Schizosaccharomyces pombe: one gene and its partners. Changing the gene in region 3 together with the main gene of any one other region gives a genetic interaction. Each region holds a gene or a part of one and is shown on either strand. Other genes may lie near its edges.

Evidence for each region. A genetic interaction does not mean that the proteins touch.
Region 1: of scd2 (region 3) and rga4, changing one enhances a phenotype caused by changing the other (phenotypic enhancement), as found in Schizosaccharomyces pombe (one study listed by BioGRID).
Region 2: of scd2 (region 3) and skb1, changing one suppresses a phenotype caused by changing the other (phenotypic suppression), as found in Schizosaccharomyces pombe (one study listed by BioGRID).

Annotation. Positions count from the first base shown.
Region 1 is NC_003423.3:1,836,359-1,844,820, reverse strand, and holds rga4 (Rho-type GTPase-activating protein Rga4), read right to left. Parts: upstream 5,406-8,462; 5' UTR 5,199-5,405; coding exon 5,112-5,198; exon of another isoform or gene 4,975-5,111; coding exon 4,919-4,974; exon of another isoform or gene 4,777-4,918; coding exon 4,427-4,776; exon of another isoform or gene 4,364-4,426; coding exon 2,055-4,363; 3' UTR 1,634-2,054; downstream 1-1,633. Other genes in the region: protein Cbp7, read right to left, coding at 290-1,360; SPOM_SPBC28E12.02 (BICC1 family RNA-binding protein), read right to left, coding at 6,503-8,462. UniProt on the Schizosaccharomyces pombe protein: GTPase-activating protein for Rho-type proteins.
Region 2 is NC_003423.3:2,274,359-2,281,257, reverse strand, and holds skb1 (protein arginine N-methyltransferase Skb1), read right to left. Parts: upstream 4,004-6,899; 5' UTR 3,984-4,003; coding exon 3,794-3,983; exon of another isoform or gene 3,745-3,793; coding exon 2,246-3,744; exon of another isoform or gene 2,200-2,245; coding exon 2,011-2,199; 3' UTR 1,634-2,010; downstream 1-1,633. Other genes in the region: ATP-dependent RNA helicase Prp43, read right to left, coding at 1-1,495; SPOM_SPBC16H5.12C (uncharacterized protein), read right to left, coding at 4,551-6,477, 6,537-6,648. UniProt on the Schizosaccharomyces pombe protein: S-adenosyl-L-methionine-dependent protein-arginine N-methyltransferase that can catalyze both the mono- and symmetric (type II) dimethylation of the guanidino nitrogens of arginine residues in target proteins.
Region 3 is NC_003424.3:2,380,112-2,387,318, reverse strand, and holds scd2 (Cdc42 GTPase complex scaffold subunit Scd2), read right to left. Parts: upstream 4,816-7,207; 5' UTR 4,148-4,815; coding exon 4,139-4,147; exon of another isoform or gene 4,086-4,138; coding exon 2,484-4,085; 3' UTR 2,166-2,483; downstream 1-2,165. Other genes in the region: SPOM_SPAC22H10.08 (uncharacterized protein), read right to left, coding at 54-1,412; metallothionein Zym1, read right to left, coding at 5,437-5,589; SPOM_SPAC22H10.06C (uncharacterized protein), read left to right, coding at 5,718-5,999; SPOM_SPAC22H10.05C (cleavage and polyadenylation specificity factor complex subunit), read left to right, coding at 7,076-7,147. UniProt on the Schizosaccharomyces pombe protein: Required for mating and morphogenesis. Interacts directly with scd1 and with cdc42. May bridge and facilitate scd1 and cdc42 interactions.

The sequences.
Region 1 (8,462 bases), on a different chromosome or scaffold from region 3:
GAATCCTCGAAGATAAACAAAGGAGTGACTAAGAATGAAACATCATGGGGGAGTGGTTATAATTGACAATGCTTTATCTGAGATACAGTAGTCTTCAGTAGCTTTTGGATCAGGCTAAGAATTAAATTTAGCGATATTTTATCCCTAGATTTCTTTTGCTTTTTCTTTTTAACATAAAAAATTGAAAACAACCTTCTCTCGAAATTATGGTGAATTTATTAGAACGGATTGAACAGTTAAATTACCAGTAGATGGAATATGTTCGGTCAATTTTTCACCTCATATCAAATCAAAGCACTAATTTGGATACATCCTTATCAAAATATTCCTTTTCAAGATGAGCAAGACGCTTTCTTGAAATTATGCTATGAAACGACTGTTTATCGGGCTGAAACACTTTAGCATAAGGCGAATCACAAGTATAACAAGTTTGCTTTAAGAATGTAAATAGAGAATCATTACTGTCAATATGCTTTAAAGCGAACTTCAGTAACTCCTTAACATGAAGCAATCTTTCCCTAGGATCGAAATAAACTTGAGGACCAATATTAAAAAATTTGCATGCTTGATTTTCAGAGCTTTGAAGTAACAAGTGGGGAGAAAAAAATGATTTATCAAGAATATGGAAATATGGTAATTTAGAAAGTACTTCGATCCACGCATTCGCAGCTTTTTGCCTGAGTAATGGAGTAGGAAAAATTTGAATTAAAAAAGCCATAGAGTCACATAACTGTGCAGAAAGCATCTGTGAAAAATTTGAAAAATTTACATAGTCCCTTTCAAAGGAACCCATCAAGTCAAGTAAAGGGGACCTTTGGTTTAACGGAAACTGTTTACAGGCTCTAGCTACCGTACACTTCTCCAAAGGTGTACGAGGAAGTTTGCTAAGGTTGAGACGATAACTGAAAGAATCACTAATTAAATTAAATGGAAAAGATTTGAATAGAGTTTGGAACCTGCCAAGGTATATTCGCGGTCTGGTTTCAGTCTTTGGAAATAAACTGTAGCAATCCTCCCACAAGGAAACACTTTGATTTAAAAGTACAATGGTACTAGTTTCATCAAGACAGCTTCCAAATCTTTTCAAAAGGCTCCTTGTTTTGGTGATTTTAGAGTCCACAAGTAGGCATTCTATATGTTTGGGCTTTTGACTTCGAAGAAGAATGTTGTCAACTCGTTTAGGAATTGCAGATGAATTTTTTTTATAAACAATCGCCTTTGGCTCTAGCATTTTGCTGTGCAGCTTACAATGGGTTAGGATAACCGGTCTTTGGTCAACTGGTTTTTTTATTTGAGACTTTGCGACGAACCAGCCGGCTTCAGTCGGGCCCAAAATGCATCGTTTAATAACATCTGCCATTAGTAAAATTCCGTAATTTTGTTCACATAGATAATAAAATATCCTGCTTAAAGACCCTCTTTTCTCAAAAAAAAGTGGTAGTAAAACAGGAGTTGGTTTTTTGTTAGACGTTCGAAACTCTATTTAACCCCCTTCAAAAAATTTACCATATAACGTATATAATTTTTGTTTATAGGAATTGCTTTTGGTTTTTTAGAATTCCATTAAGATAATGGGCATGATATATCTACAAAATCACTTACTCACAATACGTTGCACTAGCATTTCCTAAGTTAGGGATCTTGGGAAAAAATGCTTCTTTAAATCCTTGAAAGCATAATAAAATTAAAAAAAAATACAAATTTCTCCTTTTTTATACATGCAATTGCATTTTATTCATAGCCTAGCATTGTGAGTAATGCCAAGTAGACTAAAACAGGGAAATGATTAAATAAAAGCGATGGATGTCAGTCTGCAGTGATAATGCATTATGAAGAAGCTATACGCCAAATCCATAAAACACTCATCTGCCACTGATTTCACGATGACATCTAAAAATGACCAAAAATGAAACTATCTTAGCAAATGCAAAAAGGAATCTCGATATAACTGCCCAAAGTTATGGTACAACTACTAAAACAACAAAAAAAGACGAATAAAGAATATAAAGGAACGTGCAAAACAAAAGAGCGAATTATTAAAGGATAGTGTGAATTTAGGCAAAGACTTCATGTACATGATCTATCAAAAACGCAAGACTGTAATTCTTAACAGTCATGTCAATAACGTCTCTGGAATTATCGGGGTCGCGTATTAATGTTGGGGAAAATACTACTGCAAGGTTCTTGGATGTCATTCGATTTGCATGACTATATGCAGCAACCCTTGCTAAATGTCTAATAATGAGCTGCAAAATTTCAGCATGAGCTGGAGGAAGACTTTTGATGACCATTATAAAACCGTCTAATTTATCTTGGAAAGAGGCACAATTTGCTGCTGTGATGAACGGAAAGTATTGGTCATAGGTAATAATTGGATTAGGAAGGTTGCGAAGATATTGCTTGAATACAGAAGTGACAGCAGAAATATCCTCACTTGGATCAAGTACCGTATCTTCATTTCTTAGTAACGCAACAATTTTTTTCATTTGAGAAGTTGCCCCTGATTTGCGATACAGACCTTCAAAATCCATGCCGTATGACTCGATAAAATTTATACAAGAAACGATAAGCGTCGGGACTCTCAAGAGTGTTAGCCTGTTTTGATCGAAGTCGTCAGGATTCAAAGCCCAAACAGGAGATTCGCTTTTTTTAGATTGATACTGACGATCTATAGTAGAACTAACGCAATCCTGATAATGTGCTCTAAGCTCATTGGAGTATTTACCGCAAAGTTTGCAGTGACCGACCGCTGGAACGAAATCCTCTTGTTCTTCAGAAGCTAAATGTTCTTCAGAAATACTGGGAGTACTCGACATGTGAGGAGAATCTCTTTTCCAATGAAACCGTTTAGAAAATGACTTCTTAAGATCTATTTTAGAGTTCCGTTTGTTATACCCTCCACTCTCCTTGTCTTTATTGTCTTTGGGTCTAAATCCAAGGCTAGATGCAACCATTTGTAGACGCGAAAACGATTCTCGCGGAGACGGGGTTGAAATCGTTCGGTTGGATTTTTTATCATTATTAAATATTCCGAAAGAGGAAGAAGTTCGCTTCTTATGCTGCTGCTCCCTCAAGTATGCCAATTCTCTCTCCAATTGATTGTTAAGGCTTACCAGTTCTGTGTTCTTAACATTCAGATATGCGGTTTCTTCCATTACAGTGCTGTAAGCGTTTTGCAATTTAGAGACAGTCGTAGACAAAGCGTCTCGCCTCAAAAGTAAGGTAGACAGTTCAGGTTGAAAAGATTTCCGTAAATAATCTAATCTATAATTTAAATCTGCAACCAACTCTTGCTTGAAAGCTTCGGGGGACACGGGAGTCTGCTGCTCTATGATAGAAGCCAACGAAGTCGCTTCCAACAATAAGGTTCCAACCTCAGCTTGAAGCTCTGAAATACGAATGGCGAGTTCATTTGCGCTTTCCTCTGTAGCATCAAATACGTTTGAAGTAAACACATCACTTGCTCTAACCAAAGAACTTCGATTGTATTCAGGTTCACATGCTTGATGCAAACTAACTTGCGACAAATTTAAACTTTTGGCCCGCGGGGAAGCCTCATAATTTGAAGAGTTCGTCAATCTTTTCTTCAAGCCGTTTGGTTCGCTACTAAGTCGTTTGTCATCTAACTTATTAAATACCGTAGGATATCTAGGAAATCTAGCCTTTGTAGGAGTTTCGTCGCTTTCCAATCCGTTAACGTAATATTCGTCAAGATTAGATAAACTGTTTCGATTTCTAGGAACCTTTAAATTACATTTATTTGTGACATCACGAAGAGCACCCCTTAAATGGATAGGAGATAGAGCTATTCTGCCAGACACATATCCATATTTAGATGGTGATGTTGTTGTCGAAACAGATTTGTAATTCATAGTAGAAGAGCGGCGAAGTGGAGGAGGATTAACAACGCTTTCATTTTTAGGAAGTTGAGGAAGCGTACCATTTTCGGTTGGTGATTGAACAAAGGCGTGATAAGCAACAGGTTGCTGCACGCTATTATTATTTACTACTGAGCTTTGCCTTGAAGAAACTGGTTCAATTGGTATCGAACTTCCAGAATGAAAAGAGTCACACGAATCAAATGGAGAGGCATTAGCTGAACGAAATGAGGGACCATTAGCTAGTGGAGAGGGAGAGGTTTTAACGAAAGAATTTTTGGGTTTAAGTAAGAAGTCCTTTTGGATGTCTTTGTAAGATTTTGCGGAGTTTATATCACCAGGTGTTTCATAACCATTAGTTTGAACTTTTAATTGAGGACGGAGAGAGTTTGTAGGAGAGCTGGTATTTTGCATTCGACCAGATAATACGGAGGATGGAGAATCAGACGCTATAAAATGCGGGTTTTGAAAGCCTTGGTTTTGCCCTAAAATTAAAGTTAGAAACATAAAGACAATATCAATAAATACTACATAAGCAACAAACTTACCAGTTAAAGAAGTGTTTTCCGCAGTTTGTGCGATATTCCTAAGAGGAATAAACCCTGATGCGCTTTCCATAACAGCCTTTTGATTCTCTTCATCTTGTTTACGCAAACAAGGAAGGCAGTAATGTTGACCTTTGAACTTGCCAAAAGCATTTGAATTAATGAAAGCTCGACAATTGGAGCAACAAGGATGATTAGCTTGACTATTGCTTACTGCGTTGAACTCGCAAATAGGAGTTGAGCAACCGTTGCAGATATCAACACATAATTTACAGAATATTTGCTTTTGATCGTCTTGAGAAAAATCTTCAGAGGAAGGGTCTAATTTTTTGTTGCAGTTCACACATTTAAAACTAGCAAACCGTCTTAATTAGTAAATCAAAACAACAAGAAGCACAAACAAGGGTAATCTTTGGAGCATTTTATATTTTTTTATTCAATCTATAAGAAAAAAAAAAGATCCAAAAATCCCAACGTTTGCATTTTCAATCATACCAATCGGAATGCCAACATTTCCCACCGAACCAAACTTGAGAGGTACTGGGAACACTCTAGAGCAAAAGTTAGTAAATGCCGTTCATTACAGCTGGGAAAAAATAAAAGAGCAGTGTCCAATTTCAAGACAGGGTCTCGTTTTGTGAAAAGACCGCTCTCCGGACACGGCGATTAAATTTTGAACCTCACATACTTCCCAACATTTAATACAAAAACAAGTACGTTCGGATGGCGTCTCCAAACTAAGTCTGTCCAGATGAAGTGTCGTACCCGAATTCATAAGGAAATCAATATTCTGAAAATTAAAAGAAAGGTGTTTCCCAAGAGAATGGATAGGTAAATTACACCAGCTCAAAAAATGAGCGGCAGCTAAGATAGAAAACTCTTTACGGTTTTATTCAAAGTTTGTTCTTGATTAAAAAATAAATAAAAATACCAAGGCTTTACAACATTTGCTAGCTCTTTTAAACTCGTAGCCGTTTGTGGTGGAGGTCAAAGAATAGGACCTTTGTTTATATAGAAGGCTACACTGGCATTTGTTCCTTTTGTTACCGCTATGGCTTTGCAGCGAATAAACCACCAGGTTTCGATCTAGCTATTATTAATATTTGCTTATTTTCCAGATTCTTTCTATATCGTTTCCTTATGTTTCATACTTTGTGTAAGTGATGGTTGCTTCCTTCATATTATTTTGAGATTTTGAAACATTTAAAATGATATTGCTTATACAAATTTATCGAGATTTATTGTACGACTAAAAATGAACTATACAACATTCCCCCTGTTCATCTTTCGTTAGTGTTATTAGCAATCCTGTCAGCGAGAACGAAGTATTGCTCGACTCTTGAGAAAAAATAAGAGTGGCTTGTTTCTGTGCTACTTGATTAGTTCGTTCAGTTAAGCGTAATATAATTTGTATAAAAAAAACCGAAGAAACCCAATAACCGCAAAGGGTGCATTACGGTTCACACGTCTTTTTTTATAGTCGAACGACGTCTTTATGTTTAACAACTCTTGTGTAATCCCTTTTTGTTTCTTTAATTTACTAATTTAATCATCATGCATTCCAAAGAAAGTGGATGGATTAACTCAATATCGTTTTCTCATCAAATACGATTCTAATTAACTGGTCAAAGAGTGTTAGATGTCACAGCGTATAGCAAGTTGATTAATAACGGTTAGTGCCAGTTTCTACTTCTTTTTACTGAAAAGATGTTTGTTGTTATTATATCAATCTAGCTGTGTTTATCGACGTTTTATCTTTTGTTTTCAATGACAATTTATTAACAAAATAAGAAATAAAAAAGGCATACGAACAGTGGTTGCCGTCCTGCACAAATCGTTGAACTGCTTAAAGTTTAAACTTGTCATGTGCTTCAAAATTCTGCGTGGATCACGTTCATTAAATTATATTGTGCACTTAAGATGTGTATCAAAGTTGATACAGTGGAGCACTTTTGATTTTCAAAAAATTTAGTTTCCGAATTTAATAACCAGCTTGAGTGTCTGTTATGGACATAAAAAATATAACGAGAAAGTGTGGTGATCTATGGGCAGGTCGATGACTGGATTCTGACTTAAAATTCAATTAGCAAACAAATACTTCGGGATGTCGTATCCTAATCCTTCAGCTGTCTTAATGAATAAAGATCGGACGGCCCACAAATTTTCGGAGAACTTTGATGGTGTGCGAATGAGCACGTTGTGCCCGTAACAGTCAAAAGGAGTAGTTGAGAATTCAATGTAACTATTATAAAGTTTAGTTACACGTTGGATTTGCTCTCCTCGAAATCCAATGAGTTTTTTGTGAATCTCCTCTGGAACGTAAAAGTGCATCTCAGCTGGAAATTCAAGCAACATTGTGTTCATTCCTTTAATTACTCTTTCCAATTCGTCACTATATATATCAACCGTGAATATACTCGTCGACTGGGGACAAAACAAGATGTCCCCATTCTTTAAGTTGAAACGGCATTGCTGCTTTACCTTATCCAGTTTTCCATTTTTTTTACCGGATATGAAATCTTGATCCTTGGTTGGGGCTTCAAGCAGTATCTGGTGCCATTGGGATTGTCCAAATTTATAAAATATTTTGCTTGCTTTATCCATTGCTATAGGCACGGTGTTTTCTTGTCCGAAATATTCAATCCCATTGGTTTTTAGGAGCATTTCGACTCCAGAAGCCATGCAAATTATTGCAATTTGAGCTACAAATTCTGTTGGTGGAATACTTAGCTTCTTAAGAGGAGAGAATGACATTTTTTCTCCTATTCCATTTGTTTCCACTATGGAGCCAGTCGAGGATACAATAGAGGACAATTCAGAGCTTGAAACTCCTTTTTCAATTGTAGACGCTCTTCTCCAAGAACCAGCAACTCTCAGAAAGTCTTCGTTGTCTTCAACTCCAAACTGAGTTTTTCCTTGTACATATTTACTTGCAAGCTTTGCCAATCGGAGTGCTGTTTTTTCAGAATTCGCTATAGAAGATGAGTAGATTTTGACTTTTGAATTTTCTGGGCTCGTTTCTCCTCCTTCTTTGAAATACTCAGGAAAGCGAATAAACGAAGAATTTTCTTCCATAATAAGCCGAAGCTCATCCATTTCGTAAGCGAGAAATTCGAAAAGCTTAACAAATGAAATTTCTGTTACGTGAGTAAACAGTTTTAGATGTTCTTCTGCGTAATAAAACGCCTCTTCGAGTCTTTGCAATTTTTCCTCTTCTCCTGTAATAATTATTTTACTTGAGTTTAAGGCGGGTAAGGTTTGAAGCCGAGGGATTGAGTCGCTGCAAAACGGTAATGTATAAATATTAATTGATTCAGTAGCCTTCATTCCGGCAGTACTAGAAAATGCTTTTCCAACGAGAATTGGCTGAAAAGATACAGAAGTTGCAATAGCTACTACCGATAATCCTCTGATTTCATCCATTAATGCTAATACGCGAATTCTAGCATGTTCAACGCTGCAATAGTCACCATAAAAGACAATAAAAAAAGAATTCTCTGCGTTCTTTTGACATGAAAATTCATGCCTAGTAGACTCTAAATGCCTTTGGTAGAAGCTTTGTTGTTCATTTAATCGATTGCTGAATCCGCTGTCAGTACGTAGCTGAAAATCGATATCATGACACATGGAACGATGCATGATATAAATTTTTGCTCCCGTTATTTCCGTTATTTTGTCCAAATGTTTCATAGTGTCTTCATAAACGTACCCATCTTCATCAAAAAGGAGGTTTTCGAGGGGTTCTTCGAGCACAAGTTTGCTGATTAGAATTTTGGGAATGGCTTGCAAAATCTTTATTTTTGCAGTGTACACATTTTTATAATTTCCTGAAACAGTAACCACTAGTTCATTGCGGGAAGATGATATGCTCATTCCTTTATGTTTGACATGTAGTTTTATATTAACTGGCAACTCTTTTTCTGTCTCAATGCACTTTTCTTCGGTTAATCTCCTAATTTGAGAGTAAATATCGCTTTCATAATAGTCACATTTACTAGCATAAAGGGATGCCTCTTCGGGAGGAGGTGTAGATGGATCA
Region 2 (6,899 bases), on a different chromosome or scaffold from region 3:
CTTTACGACCTAAAGGAGTCAAGTCGCCATTATCGTCCAGACAGTTCAAATAGTTCAGCTCTTCTAAAGCACGCATCATAGTCTCCGGAGCGGGTGGATCCATATAATCAAAATGAACGAGGTCATCAATACCTAGTTTCTTCAATTCTAAGACAGTACTCGAGAGATTGCTGCGTAAAATCTCAGGATACGTTTGCTCAATCAATTCTTTGCGAAAAGCTTCCTCTGTGTAAAGGCGGAAACATTTACCAGGTCGAGTACGTCCAGCACGACCAGCACGCTGTTGTGCACTGGCTTTGCTAATAGGACTTACAAGCAAAGACTCAACTCGGATTCGGGGATTATAAATTTTTTGTTTACTAAAACCAGGATCCACCACATAAACGATACCATCGATAGTTAAGGATGTTTCTGCGATGTTTGTAGATATAACTACTTTACGGCCGTAACCCGATTTTGTATCTTCCGGAGTTGGTTCGAATATACGTTGCTGTTGATTTGGCGGTAAAGAACCATAAAGTGGATACACCTTCAATGGACCAGCGGCTCCTTCACGTACAAGATCATCAGCTTCCAAAGTAATCTTACGGCAAGCATCTTCAATCTCTTCTTCACCTGTAAGGAACACTAAGATATCACCGGGGCCCTCTTCAACATGAATTTGAAGCACTGTACGAAGCGCGGCTTCTAAATAATCGCGCTCAGGTTCTTGGGTATAATAAATTTCAACAGGGTAAGTTCTACCTGGAACAGCTAAAAGGGGAGCATCAAAAAAGTATTTTTGAAACTTTTTAGCATCCAAAGTTGCAGACATGACAATAATCTTAAGGTCGGGTCTACGTGTAGCCAAACGCTTCATTAGACCCATCAAAATATCAGTTGCCAAGGTACGCTCATGTGCTTCATCAAGAATAATACAAGAATAACGAGAGAGCATATGGTCTGTCATGGCTTCACGCAAAAGCATACCATCTGTCATATATTTTAACAGAGTGTTAGGTCCACTACAGTCTTCAAAACGAATGTTGTAACCAACTTCCTCGCCCAAGTCAACGTCCATTTCGTCAGCGACACGTTTTGCAACGGACATAGCTGCAACACGACGTGGTTGAGTACATGCAATTTGTGTATTTGTTAAATGAGGCAATTCATCATAAAGAACAAACTGAGGAATTTGTGTTGTTTTACCAGAACCAGTTTCACCAACGAAAACAATAATTTGATTCTCGTGATAAATTTTGAGAAATTCTTCTCTTTGCTGGTATACAGGAAGCTCTCTTCGAGTTTCCAAAATCTTAAAATAATTTTGACTAAAAGGTTTATCATTAAAAAAATTGTTTGGTCCTTCTTCAGCCTTAGCTGCTTGTGCAACAGTCGTAGCACGTCGCGTCAACCCTTTCGAAGAAACAACTTCCTCAGAATCATCACCATTGTTTAAGTGTGCCAAATACGGGTTCTTTGACTCTTGCCTTAGTTTCTTCTGAGCTGGTTCCATAGTCGAAAATCGCCCTTATATAAACCCTTCCCACAATTCTGTAAATGGCGAAGAACACAGTGCATACTCCGTACTACAAGCAGTTAAAGAATTTTCCAACAAACCATCTATCTTAACATTCGTTATATAAAATTGAGTGGCATAACGCAATGCGTTGTTAATTTTCAAGTTCGGACTAATATAATACATTAATGAAAATTAATTAACTAGTATAGTAAGCAAATGACAGGGTATTTCAGTTGAATGAATTTGCCTGTTAATTAATTGTGTAAAAAGGAATGTTTAAGAACAATAGTTAAAATTCTGGCAAATCGTTTAAGACAATAAGTATAGGAGCATTACTCCTTCTTTCTCAGCAAAATCTTGATTGTAACAGCTATCCTAAAACTAATCGACTTTTGTTAAATTCAGATTTAACTAAATCCAAAAAATTTTTATAATCAAAACTCCAAAAAAATGGTTTGAAGACCCGTTTTAAACCATAAACAATAATGTAAAAGAAGGACTATTAATTTTTAATACATATTACACGAGAACGCTTTTCCGGAAATGTTGTGGACCTCCGTAGAAGACAACTTGATTTGACTTCCATTCCGCAACACCAGATAGGCATTGGCACACCACTCAAACCAAACCCGCATACCGTCCGTCAATCGCCACATGTGAAATTCCAATTGGCTGTTTTCTGGGACGTACATGGGTTTCTAGGAAATATTAGTATACAGTGCAACGTAAAATATAGTAACTTACCTTAATGGGCATATAAATAGGGAACCATGAAAACATGTCAGGAGACTTCGCTTCCATAGTTGCTGGCATAATTGAAAGAGAAATATCCTTATATAATGTAGCTTCAAAATATCCTGCAAAACCGTGAAGGATTCCAGGACTAGAGGCCTGAAAACGAACACTAGCAAAACGTTTGTTATGCAAGTTTTTAGTATAAACCTCACTATCTTTGTTTGGGTGATGGAAGGACCAAAGGGACTGAAAACGGAACTCATCATCTGCAGCCAAAAAGTCAAATGAGTTCATTAAAACCACGTACTGTCTTTCAAAAGCATTTGGGTCATTCATATTACGAGCTTCAGACCATAGCTTAGGAGACATAATAGGAGTAACATAGGAGATGTAAGAAGATGGAATGCATATCCCAGTTTCTTCATCAAGCACATGTTGTACACCATCTAGACACTCCGGACTAAGTTCATTGTCTCCCATACTACCCAAAAGTTCACTAACAAGGATGTCAATTTTATAATCAGGATTCCATGTTCTCATATCTCCAAATACTAGAGTAACTTTGCCAGCCCAATCCTGGCGGTTTCTCATCAATAGCATGGAAAAAGCGTTAGGATTTTTCTCAAGGGCGATCATATCAACCGTTCTAGATGAAGAAATTGCCGCACGTAAAGCACAGTCGACTAATGGACCTCTTCCCGCACCCACAACGGCAATTCGCGTGACAGAAGATTCGTCTCTATCCATCAACGCAGAAAAAATTGCTTGCTCATACTGGGCGTACTTAACGGGATCTCGCTCAAATATTTCATAAGTAATGTTTTCCAAATTGTAGCTCAATGGTTGAAGAGGAACTTGCAGATAGTCTTTATAAGAATCCGCGAGATCTTCTACAAGTGGAGCTGGAGGCTGTGAATCAAAGAGGTGCTTCATATATATGCTGTAGTCGGGGGAATCACCTATTTTCTCGGGTGCGTCATTATCCCAAAGTAAAATTCGAGGATTGAGACGTAGATATAAAGCATAAATAGCCCTCAACTTACGACCAAGTACTGGATAGCCGTTGGGATTAGGAACGAAAGCCATACATGACATAGTAATCATCTCTATCGGTTCCGCGTACCATCGATTTACTAGCTCGATTGGGGGTGAACAAGCGGGAGGTAGCTCTAAGGCCACCTTCAATCTAGGGTGATAACCACATGCTGAGCGAATTGTGTCCCACATTTTCCATGTCTCAAAATAGTCTTCATGACCACTTTCGATTGCCAATTGTACCAAGAATTTTAGATTCATTGTTGAGTTTAAAGCAGAAGATACAGCTCTCGCATAACGCATAACGTTCATTGGTGAAGTTGGACCATTTAGGATGATTGAAGATAACCCACAATAAGAAGCATATGATGCTTCCTTTAATAACACTTCTTCTGATCGATCAGCGATTAGTGTGTCTTCAGAATCTAACTCCAGCCAAGCTGAGGATAAACCGACCACCTTGTGCACATTTTCTATAGTAAAATTGGTTAATATAAATTTTCTTTCAAATTTGAAACATACCCTCAGGGTGATAAGCTACTTCATCGTCGAGGAATTCCTGCAAACGCTCTGACGGAGCTAGAGCTTCAACTCGTAGCTTTAAACCTTCACCACTTAACGGAACTCCAACAAACTCAAAACCCTCTTCCAAAGACAAGGAAATGGTCCCCTCTGAACAAACTATTCCTAGAGTGGGCGTTTTAGAATTCATCGGCGGAACTGGCAATGGGTAAATACTGTACTGTGGAATACGGCCATCCCGCAATAACATACGGTAAGGGTTGGGACCTTGTGTTGCAAAAACAAAAAAAAATTGTTTAGTTGAGTAGCTAGCTTATTGTTTGTGAGTGTTTTAAATTTCAACTTGGTTATTTAATTAATGAATTTGATCTATTAAAACTTACATCTTTTCTAAGAAGAAAAGGCTAATAACTGCTATTCTAGCATAAAGTAATTAATTATTTTTACTATATAGTTTTCTGCGAATCAATCTTGTCAAAAATCACTTTATTATTTCTAAACAAAGTCGATATGAAAGAAAGTAAAGTAAGCACCCTTTTGTCAATGACAACCGAATTCGAAAAAGATATCTTAAAAGAGTCATATCAGTTATTTTGGCTTCGCAGTTATTGAGGTAAATGAGTGCGTCAGATAAATTTCATGAAAACTTCATCATTCATGAGGTAAACTTTTGCATTAACATCAGTAAAAAGGTGAAAAGATGGTATAAAAATCAGTTCTAAAACAGCATTGAAAACAGTGCAAAAAATATTCATCATTAACCATGGGTAGTAGGTTCAGCGCTTTGTTTATTGACACTTCCACCGCTTTGTAATGGACGAGGATGCTGCATTCTGTTCATTCGGCCGCCTCGTCCACGTCCACGATTGGTACGCATTCCAGTTCCATGTCCCTCCATCCGGTTATTTCGATACCATCCTCTATTTTGACGATAGTACGAATCATCACGCATGATATTCACCCGCACACCTTCTGGAACTTTGATGCTTCCAAGGGCCTTTGAAACAGCATTCTGGTTTTCAACAAATACATATGCATAGTTAGTGGGGTTTACGTTTTGAGGAGCTTGGGGACTTTTGTAACGATTGAGTGAAGTACGAATTTGAATATTCGTAATCAGGCTGTCTGTCCCGTCCTTAAAGTAAGAACGGGCTTCCTCTTCAGAATTGCAAGGGGTAATATGAAATCCACAACGTTCATAACGCTGCTCACCACTATATTGACGGAATTCACGATCGTTGCCCTTCTGCATATCAGTTCTTCTACCTTCTTGTGCTTGAGATCTTGTAACATTTGCAGCATTCTCTTGTTCAAGTATGGTAACCTCTGTAGTCGTCTCACCTAGCTCGAGATTTCCAGTACCCTTAGTCACCTCTTCAACGTCAACTTCCTCTTTCCCTCCAATTGCTGGTTGTTCTTCTTCATTAGGACTAGGCTTCTCTGCTACGCCAGAAATGGGTTCTTCCTCGGCAGCAGGTGGTCCCGACTTCTCTTCGATTACTTCATGAGTCTCAGCCGACTCTTCTGTAGTATTCGCTCTTGACATTCCTAGCTCATCAGTATGTTCCTGATCGTACCCTTCAATCTGTTCTTCTTCGGTTGGTGTAGCCGTAGCTTCTCTGTTCTTGGTAAACTGTGCTTGAGATTCCACCAACCTATTGTTAGCGTAATAATAGGTACCGGTATTTTCCGAAGTTGAGCGTGGAATGTGAGATGCATAATTTTCGTTACGACGTGAAGCCATGCGACGATAGCCTAAATTAAAGCCATGAGATTTGCTTTCCACTTGAACATGCCCATTTTCGACGACAAAAACAGTCCATCCAAAGGAAGCATCTAATAAATTGAAGTTCCATAGGTTTTTAAAAGCAGTGCCGGGAAGCATGTTATTCATAGCATATGAGTTAGTTGCATCGGGCATGCGAGAGACTAGGCGAACAACATTGTTTATTAGATGATGTTGTTCAGGGGTAACCATCTTCTCAACCTCAGCCTTAACAGTGTCATACACTTCCATAAACTGTGCACGGGCAGCCGAAAGTTTTTGAAGATAATGTTCAGGACTATGATTTACGCAAAACTCATTGTAGCTAGCTCCATAACGAAAATGAAGACCGGCGGATAAAGTCAGGTCAGCCTGGCAAGCAGTAGCTAATTGAGAAAGAACACCTTCTCTTCCAATGGGATGATGCGTAATAAAAATACGTGCCTCCTCTCTGTCAAGCAGGCTCTTAGCGGTTTCTATTAGTTCACCCATTTGAAGGATTGTAGTCCACATAGTACCCTGGCCACCAGCAATAGTTCCTTTACCGTCTCCATTGTCAAAAAGCTTAAAAGGGACATAAGGACCTCCAAGACCAAGTAAACGGATTTTCATATCTCCAATTTGCAATAGGTAGGAATGAAGTTCGTCCACTATGTTAAGGTTTGGAATAGAATATTCTCCAGAACGAAATTTTTCCAAAACGTGCACATCTTCGCAAGCTCCCCATACTACATATACAGGGACTGAGAATTTCTTCTCTTGTGACAAAAATTGAGGTAATTCTGAAAGCAGGCAATCGGGGTGAGAAGCAATACTATTCTTCAAATCCCCAATTGGATTCGAGGGATAATAATCAAAGTTTTTGGACCTAGGAAGCTTTTTTATGAGAGGCGAGAATTGGACAATGTGACGAAGAGTACTGAAAAAAGGTTAGAACAAAGAAAAATGAAACATAAAAATTTTTGACACAAAACATACCGTTCAGATATGCTAGGAAGTGAGGATCGCTCAAAAAATCCAAAGTCACCAGTGTGGATGACACAGGAGGCATTGGTTTCCTCAACCAGGCTATTTATTAAACTCAGTTCACCTGAAGGGATAGTTATTAGTAAAAACGCGTATTAAAGAGTAGTAATTTTAAGGATAGGAATAGCTAAGGAGAATAAAGTGTATGGACAAAATTCTTTTACGAACCAACGAGGATCTTTAATGACAAAATGAGTAAATTGAGCAATTGCGCTTCAACTCCTGCTAAGCCATTATGGATAAGTTCATGCAAAAGCATACAAATTCGCATCTTCTTATCTTAAAAAGTAAAACGATCGTCGATAATTCCCCCGA
Region 3 (7,207 bases):
GAGCTAGTTAGTAATTAAACAGATATATATATAGATAGATAATTTTAACTTACATCAAACCAATTGTCTGCACCAGATCCATCAAATCCGAATCTCATAAAATCGGTTAAAATAGTCTTTTTTAAATATTCTCTGCCTCCAAAAGCTGTATCAATGTAGTTAAGAAGAGAATGGTCATTTAAAGAATCTAACTCCTTGAACAATAGAACCAAGGGTGTTAAAATCCTTGGCACTTGCATATACTTGTCTATAAACAATAAGGCATTTGGAACAGCGGTATCTCCGAGATGGATTGTTGAACTTCCTATCCATGTTTCAGACTGTTCTTGAGCCGTCCGCAAAATCCTTTCCATCGCAATTCTAATGTTGGGACAAGGCTGCATTCTGTGTATTCCTTGATTGTTATCAATTAGCTTATACTCCATATCTGGGTTAGTTAACTCCAGATCACTAAGAGCCCATAATGAAAATATTTCTCCCATAATTAAAAGCCAAAGATGCAAACTTTGCACAACATAATGGTACTGTTTGTAATGACTATGCTTTAGTCTTGAGCCATTAATGGCATCAATAGCAAGAGTAAACTCATCGTCCACGGTATCTGGAGAAAAATATGCTTCTACCAAGCCTATGAGTTTGGCAATTGGATCACGATTATATCTCAAGTAACTGTTACTATCAGCAATAGAGTAGAGACACCATCGTACTTTCTCTTTTGTAATTTTGCTGCTGTAATACTTTTTTGCAATATGTTCAACAGCTCTTTCTTTCGCTTTAATATCTTTTTGAATCGCTGAGCGTGATCTATTTTCAGCGACTATTTCCATAGTAGCAATTTCGGCATAAGGATCTTCTAATGCGTTCAAAGCATCCCTTTCATTCAAAAATTCATAGACAGTCAAAATGGGTTTAAAGAGGTTAAATCCAAGTGCGTCTTGAATTTCTGGTCGCATAGAATCTTGCACAAAGTACATCAATTTCCCATAAGTAGACCCCAGTCGGTTGGGATTTAGCACTTTATAACGTCGACCTATTTCAAAAATCTTTTTAAAAAATTCGGCATGTTGTTCAAAATTTTTATGCTCAAGCAATTCTTGTCCAACTTTATAATCATAAGCAACCATGATACCCGACAAAACTGCAGTAATTCCTTTCAATTGCTGAGCCAGTCTTTTCGCTGGCGACGAAAAGCTTAGGGTATCAACGCTGTCGGTATAATCACTCACATCCAATGCAGCAGTAAGTAAATGAAGAAGCTTTCTTTCTTCATATTCAAGTCTCAAAGGAATCACTTTGGCCCTTTGCAACAACACAGGAGAAGAAAATTTCTTTTCAGGTGATTCATTACCCGTTTTAGATTCATTGGGGAGAATGGATGACAAATACAAATTCCTTAAGGCTTCAGCGTCCATGTCTATGTAAAGAATACGTTCTCATGAATTAATCATACAGGTATAAATTAAAAGGAGGAAGTATTAAAGTGAGGGAATCTTTAAAAAAAAATTTTAATTTAACATGTGTTTTTGCAATGTTGAAATAAAAGCAACTGCACAGCTGTAATTTATTGTTTTTTGATCTATATCGAAGGTTGGGCGTTCACTACTTGTCACTTCAACAGGTACTATTTTCTACCGCTATTTTAGATGCCACCATTCTAAGTATACGGAAAAGGAAATTATATGAGCATTTTTTATTTTTGAAATTTGATAAGCATTAAGGAAAGTATGCATGTAGTAAAGCAATATTTTAGATAAACTAACAAGATAAAGCGTCTTTAGTATTGGATTAAATGTATGCAGCATGTTACTTGTGGTCACATTAAATGTAAGAAATAATGTATACATAAATGAAGTAAATGTATAGAAGAAAGCGTTTCCGGCTTCCAATATCTAATTGTTTAATGAATCAACAGGTAGTTTGCAAAATTGCCTTTACCAAATTGGCTGTATATAATATACGTGATCGATATTGTAGCTGGTTCATATGAACCAATTTATTACTGCGACATGATATTGTATTACCAAATCTGCGTTGATTCAGCTGATTAAGACGTTGTCAAGAAATGTTGAACTTCTCGCAATAAAAACGTTTTTATTTTACTACTTAGGCTTACCTTTATCCCCTTTTGAAATACGTCAAATACATATATGTTTGGAGGAACAGTATCAAACAACTAATGAAAATATTCAATTGAATGATTGTGAACAAAAAGGGAGTGCATAGTTGAGATTTTTTGTTTATTTTACCTCCAAGAAAGCTAATATATAAGGAGAATAAACATTTTGCATCTTATTCGGTCGTGATTAAATACTATCCAAAAACGCATACCTCTCGAAAAAACAGACAGATATATTAGAAAGATAAAGAAAGCTATTATACCGATGAAATTAAATTAATAAAAGTAAACCATGAAAGAACGAAACGAAAAAAAAATAAAATGCAAGAACGTAATAAGAAACCCAAATCTTTAAATATACATAGTCTCAAAACCTCCGTCTTTCTGCAAAAAGTAAAACTCCTGATTCTTGAGAACATGCCTTCCGTAAATCGTCAACATTATTAAGAGGTAATACTTTATTCGCGTTCGTATCTCTGTATGACAAATGTTCACATTCTCCGAGTTTATTAGTCAATCGTTCACAAAAATCTTCAAATGAGATATCAGAGGGAACGCGCAAAGCAAAGGTTTCATCTCCTAATCTGACTTTAACTTTGCATGTCGAACCTGCAGTAGTCGGAGCTGATTCGGGAATAGAGATATTAGTAGCTTTTTCAGGAGCTTTCTCTGGCAAAGAGAAACTTAACGGTTCTCTGGGTAAGGCTTCAGGCATCGTACTAGTTGGATGAGGGGACTCAACGTCTCCGTCAAGCGGTAAGAAGAAAAGTTTGACGAGTTCATTTTCGAGTAAACGAGCTGGAAGCCTGCACATTTCCTTCAGATATACATCTAAATCCATTGCCCTTTGTGAAGATATTAATTCATTAACGTCATCAACTGGACCGGGCATGTAAGGAATAACTCGTCTTTCGTCCCCACGACCAGCTTCATTAGGAAATAACTCTAAAAACTTCGTCTGGAAATTAAAAAAGTCTTCGTAATATCTACAAAGGTTTCGATGTTTTCCATCACTCATAACGGCACGGACCAAATACCAATATTGGTCATCGCGAATCATGTAGTTTTCCACCATTGCAGCAACAACGGTAGGTTCAGAAGACATGTCTTTCTTGTTCTTAGAAGCGATGCTAGCCGTACGCGACTCCAATGTTTGCAGAGGTGTTAATTCGTTAGCGACGGAACCAGGAAAAGTGCTTGAATTGTCAGTAGCAGCTTGATATGTAACATCGTTATTAATTTGTAAATTTTCAGTGCTTGGACTTAAGCTAGGCATAGTTTGAGTTTCACCATCACTGAATTTCCCTAAAGGAATACTACTCTTTTTATAATCAGCAGCCGCACGTTTCCAATCCTCTACACGAGGTATGCAAGAAATACGTAAAACAGCCTCACTAACGTCTTTTATCACAGCTCCGGTTTTTAAATCTCGAAGTTGTATAAATGAAAGAGGAATGAGACCTGGACCCCCTAATCGTCCTATAGGTTTGGCTACTAACCACTCATGATTTGACCGAGCAATAATTATAATAGCCTCACCCGCCTTGGCTTCAAGTTCATCTGGTCGTTCAGCAGCAAAATCGAATTGCACAATTCCAAATAGCGGCTGTGAACCAGAATGGAGTTCACTGATTGAGCTCCTAGTGGTACTAGAATTGGTGGTTAAGTCTGTAAATGATATTTGCCCGCTGCCATCACTGTCTCGTTCCGATTTGACCGTTTTTCCTATCTCTTCAAAATGAGATACTGGAACAAAGCCACGAGTACCTGCAGCGGGATTACAAACTTCGTACCAAGCCTTGTCATTTTCACGACCTATAACATGAAAAAAGTCACCCTTGGCAAATGAAACTTCAGTTGCTTTACGAGCTGTGTAATCATAAAGGGCCCTAATAACTTTTCTCGGGGGTTCAATTGAAAAAGGATCTTTATCAAGAATTCGACTATGAGTTTTCCAAGTCCTTTTAATCTAGAGATGGTTAATAATTGATTAATTAACAAAAAATTTTTTTTGAAGCATACCTTTAACATAGAGACTGGAATTAGAACAAAAAGAAAGAAGGTAGTAGAACAAAATTTGAAATTATATTACAATAATCTCAGAAAGATTCTAACTATTAGAATTCCCTGCAACAAAAAGATTTAACTTAATTTTCATAAAACGATCAAGTGGAAATTATAATTACAGACAAACTGTTAAAGCGATAACCTACTGTAAGGGTATATGAATTAAGATCCGAGATAGCAAAAGGAATGTATGAAGAAAAGGCAAAAAGAATGGCACGGATTTAAAGAAAGCAATATATTGTAAATGAATCAATAATTAATTTCCAAACACTTTGAAAACGCTGTCGTTTTTATGAAAGATGAGTATACAGGATATAATATTCTCACAAAACAGACAAAATCGATTTGTTAGCACGTTGTAATTAGAAAGAACGAAGAAGCTAGCAGACACTCAATTATAGTGACTGAACTGCTGAGCCCTGAAAGATAGATGAAGGAAGAAAAGGACGGGAAAAGAGGCTTAATATAGAACAATGAGAGTTGGTCCAAGCAGCAAAGTAATATATTAGAAGAATACAAACTCAACAATTTTAAACAAGGAAACGTATTAAAATTTTTCCCAACTGACTCTCTTATTAATTTCCCTCTTACCAAGTATAAAATTACAGATCTACAACTTCTATGTTCAAGTTACCTTTCAGTTAATTCTGGAAGTGAATTTTGTCGCGTAGCATTGTAGTTCACTATCGTAATTATATTATAATGAGTATTAAACAGTTTAAAGGATTACGCGCTATTAGCGTTCGCTATGAAAAATAGATTCCGTAGTTACCCAAATATAATGTATACATTTGCTTTACAGAGCTTAACTTAGCAATGGTATAGAAGGAAGAAACAAACGTTCGTTAGTGCCGTTAAAATATTAAGACATAATTTTGGTTGAATTGATACAGAGTATCTTTTTTTGCACATAAAACTAATTTATTGTGGAAAAGAATCCACAATAGTGGACGATTTTCCAAGAAGATGATGCCCTTACTCTACGCTAAGCAAAAATAGCTGTTGAAAATAAATCAATTTATGATTTCATTATTATTCATAACAATCATATCTTAAGAGTTGAGTTGTAAGTAAGAATGCTCTGTAAAAAAGTAGCAATGTAGTAGGATCAAGACATCAGGGCGATTCGTTGGTCCATAATAGTATTGTTTTCTCGACTGATGCTTCGAAAAACAATAAGACGAGGCGGACATTGCTTTATGGATGAAATATTTCGTCAAGGCCAGAACTACAGTCCGTAAATCTCATATAGATTACTTCGAAGCACATTTGCAAGAAGAGCACTTGCAGTTATCAACAGCGCTGCTCTTGCAACCACAAGACTCTTTGCAATCTTGGCAACCGCACTTGGATTGGCAGTCGCAAGGCTTGCCTTGTTTGCTCTTACATTGGGTAGTGTGTTCCATCGTTGAAAGTTTGTTAGGGTGATATGAGTTGTTGAAAGTCGATTGTCTCAAGCACGCTTAAAGTGGTAAAAAAGGTGAGAGTAGGGTGCCTTTATATACATTTTCCAAGCTAAAGGATTGACAGTATCATGTCATGTCGATATAGGATCTGCAGGGATATTTGGAGAGGCAAATGCATATACGTATTTAGATGTTTGTACACAAATCATGCTGTTGTTTCATGGAACCAAACAAATGAAGTGATTGGACTTTACAAAGCAAATGAACATAAATTTATGAATAATAGAAAACAATCTCATATTAAGAATGGGTTAGTTGTATCATATTCAATATTATATCCAGTTGGTAAAGGTAGATCTCTGCGTAGTACTGGTGTTGTTTTGATTCTGGGTCCTGTTAAGGAATATTAACACTTTACATCATCTGATACTCGGGTTCCGTTCGTATCGCCACAATAGTTCCCGCCAAAAGGTAGGTGCCGCAATGGCTTTACTCCAAGATTCTAAATTCATACAGACTAGCTATGCCTTCCAACTGAATAAATATCAGACTTGAGGGCATATATGAGGAGGGTGTGGCAGAATTCACTTTTGTCCGTCAAATTCACTATTAACATTGGTTATAAAATACGCAAAAGTAAGTCTTTACGAGTTTAGTAAAAGCTGAAACTGATAGTTCTACAGTTTTCCTACTTTCTAGAATTCTCTGTTTCTGCAAACTTTAACTTAAAATTACATTGAAAACATTGGTTAAATTCGTTTGTTTACATTTATTTCTAAGCATAAAGTTTTTGGATTTATGCATCTTATCTATGTTTATGTACTCCTTTATCAGTAGATTTTATATTGACAGATAGATTGAGTATATAGTTGTTTACATGTTTAATCGCGTGGTGAAGCTTCTAGCAAAATAAAACATCGAGCGTTTATTAATAGTGAATAGAAATTAGGCATAAGAACAACTGAGGCATTGCACAACTTATAAATGTCTACGCGGAAGCTCATCACGAACTTTTGGTATTAGTTATTCGTTACGCTAGTATTATACTCTCTTTTCCATGTTTATTTCTTTCGCTTGAAGAGTGGATTATACACACATTGTATCCACTTATTTGCACAGGAAGTATTACAAGTGGACCTTTTCAGGTTCGGTCAGTAAGTTTTAACGCATGCTATCTTGCATTTTAAACAACTTTCCCTTTAACAGAATCACATATTGTACGAACTTATGGGCCTAAAAATATACTTATTTTCTGTCATAAGTCGTCCAGTATAAGATAATATAGCATCATAATAAAAACTCAACTGTGGCACATATCGTTATATTGACTACCCTTCAGTAGCTAACATTTTACGAAGTATCATATTCTTCGTTATCTGCACTTCAGATGGAGTTAGTATACCATAGTTTTCGTAGCTTCTCTTGTCTTCATCCTGAACAGTCAGCGGTCTCAGCTGCTGCTTAGATCCATTTATATTTTTAAGAAATGAAAGAAATTTTCATTCCGAAAGAGTGTGAATGGAGATTTGAGGTCGACGAACCGGCAATTCAAATTCGAGTAAGTTCGTGGTGATATTGTTGTTTACGACATGAAGTAGCTTACTTTTGCTACTTCAGA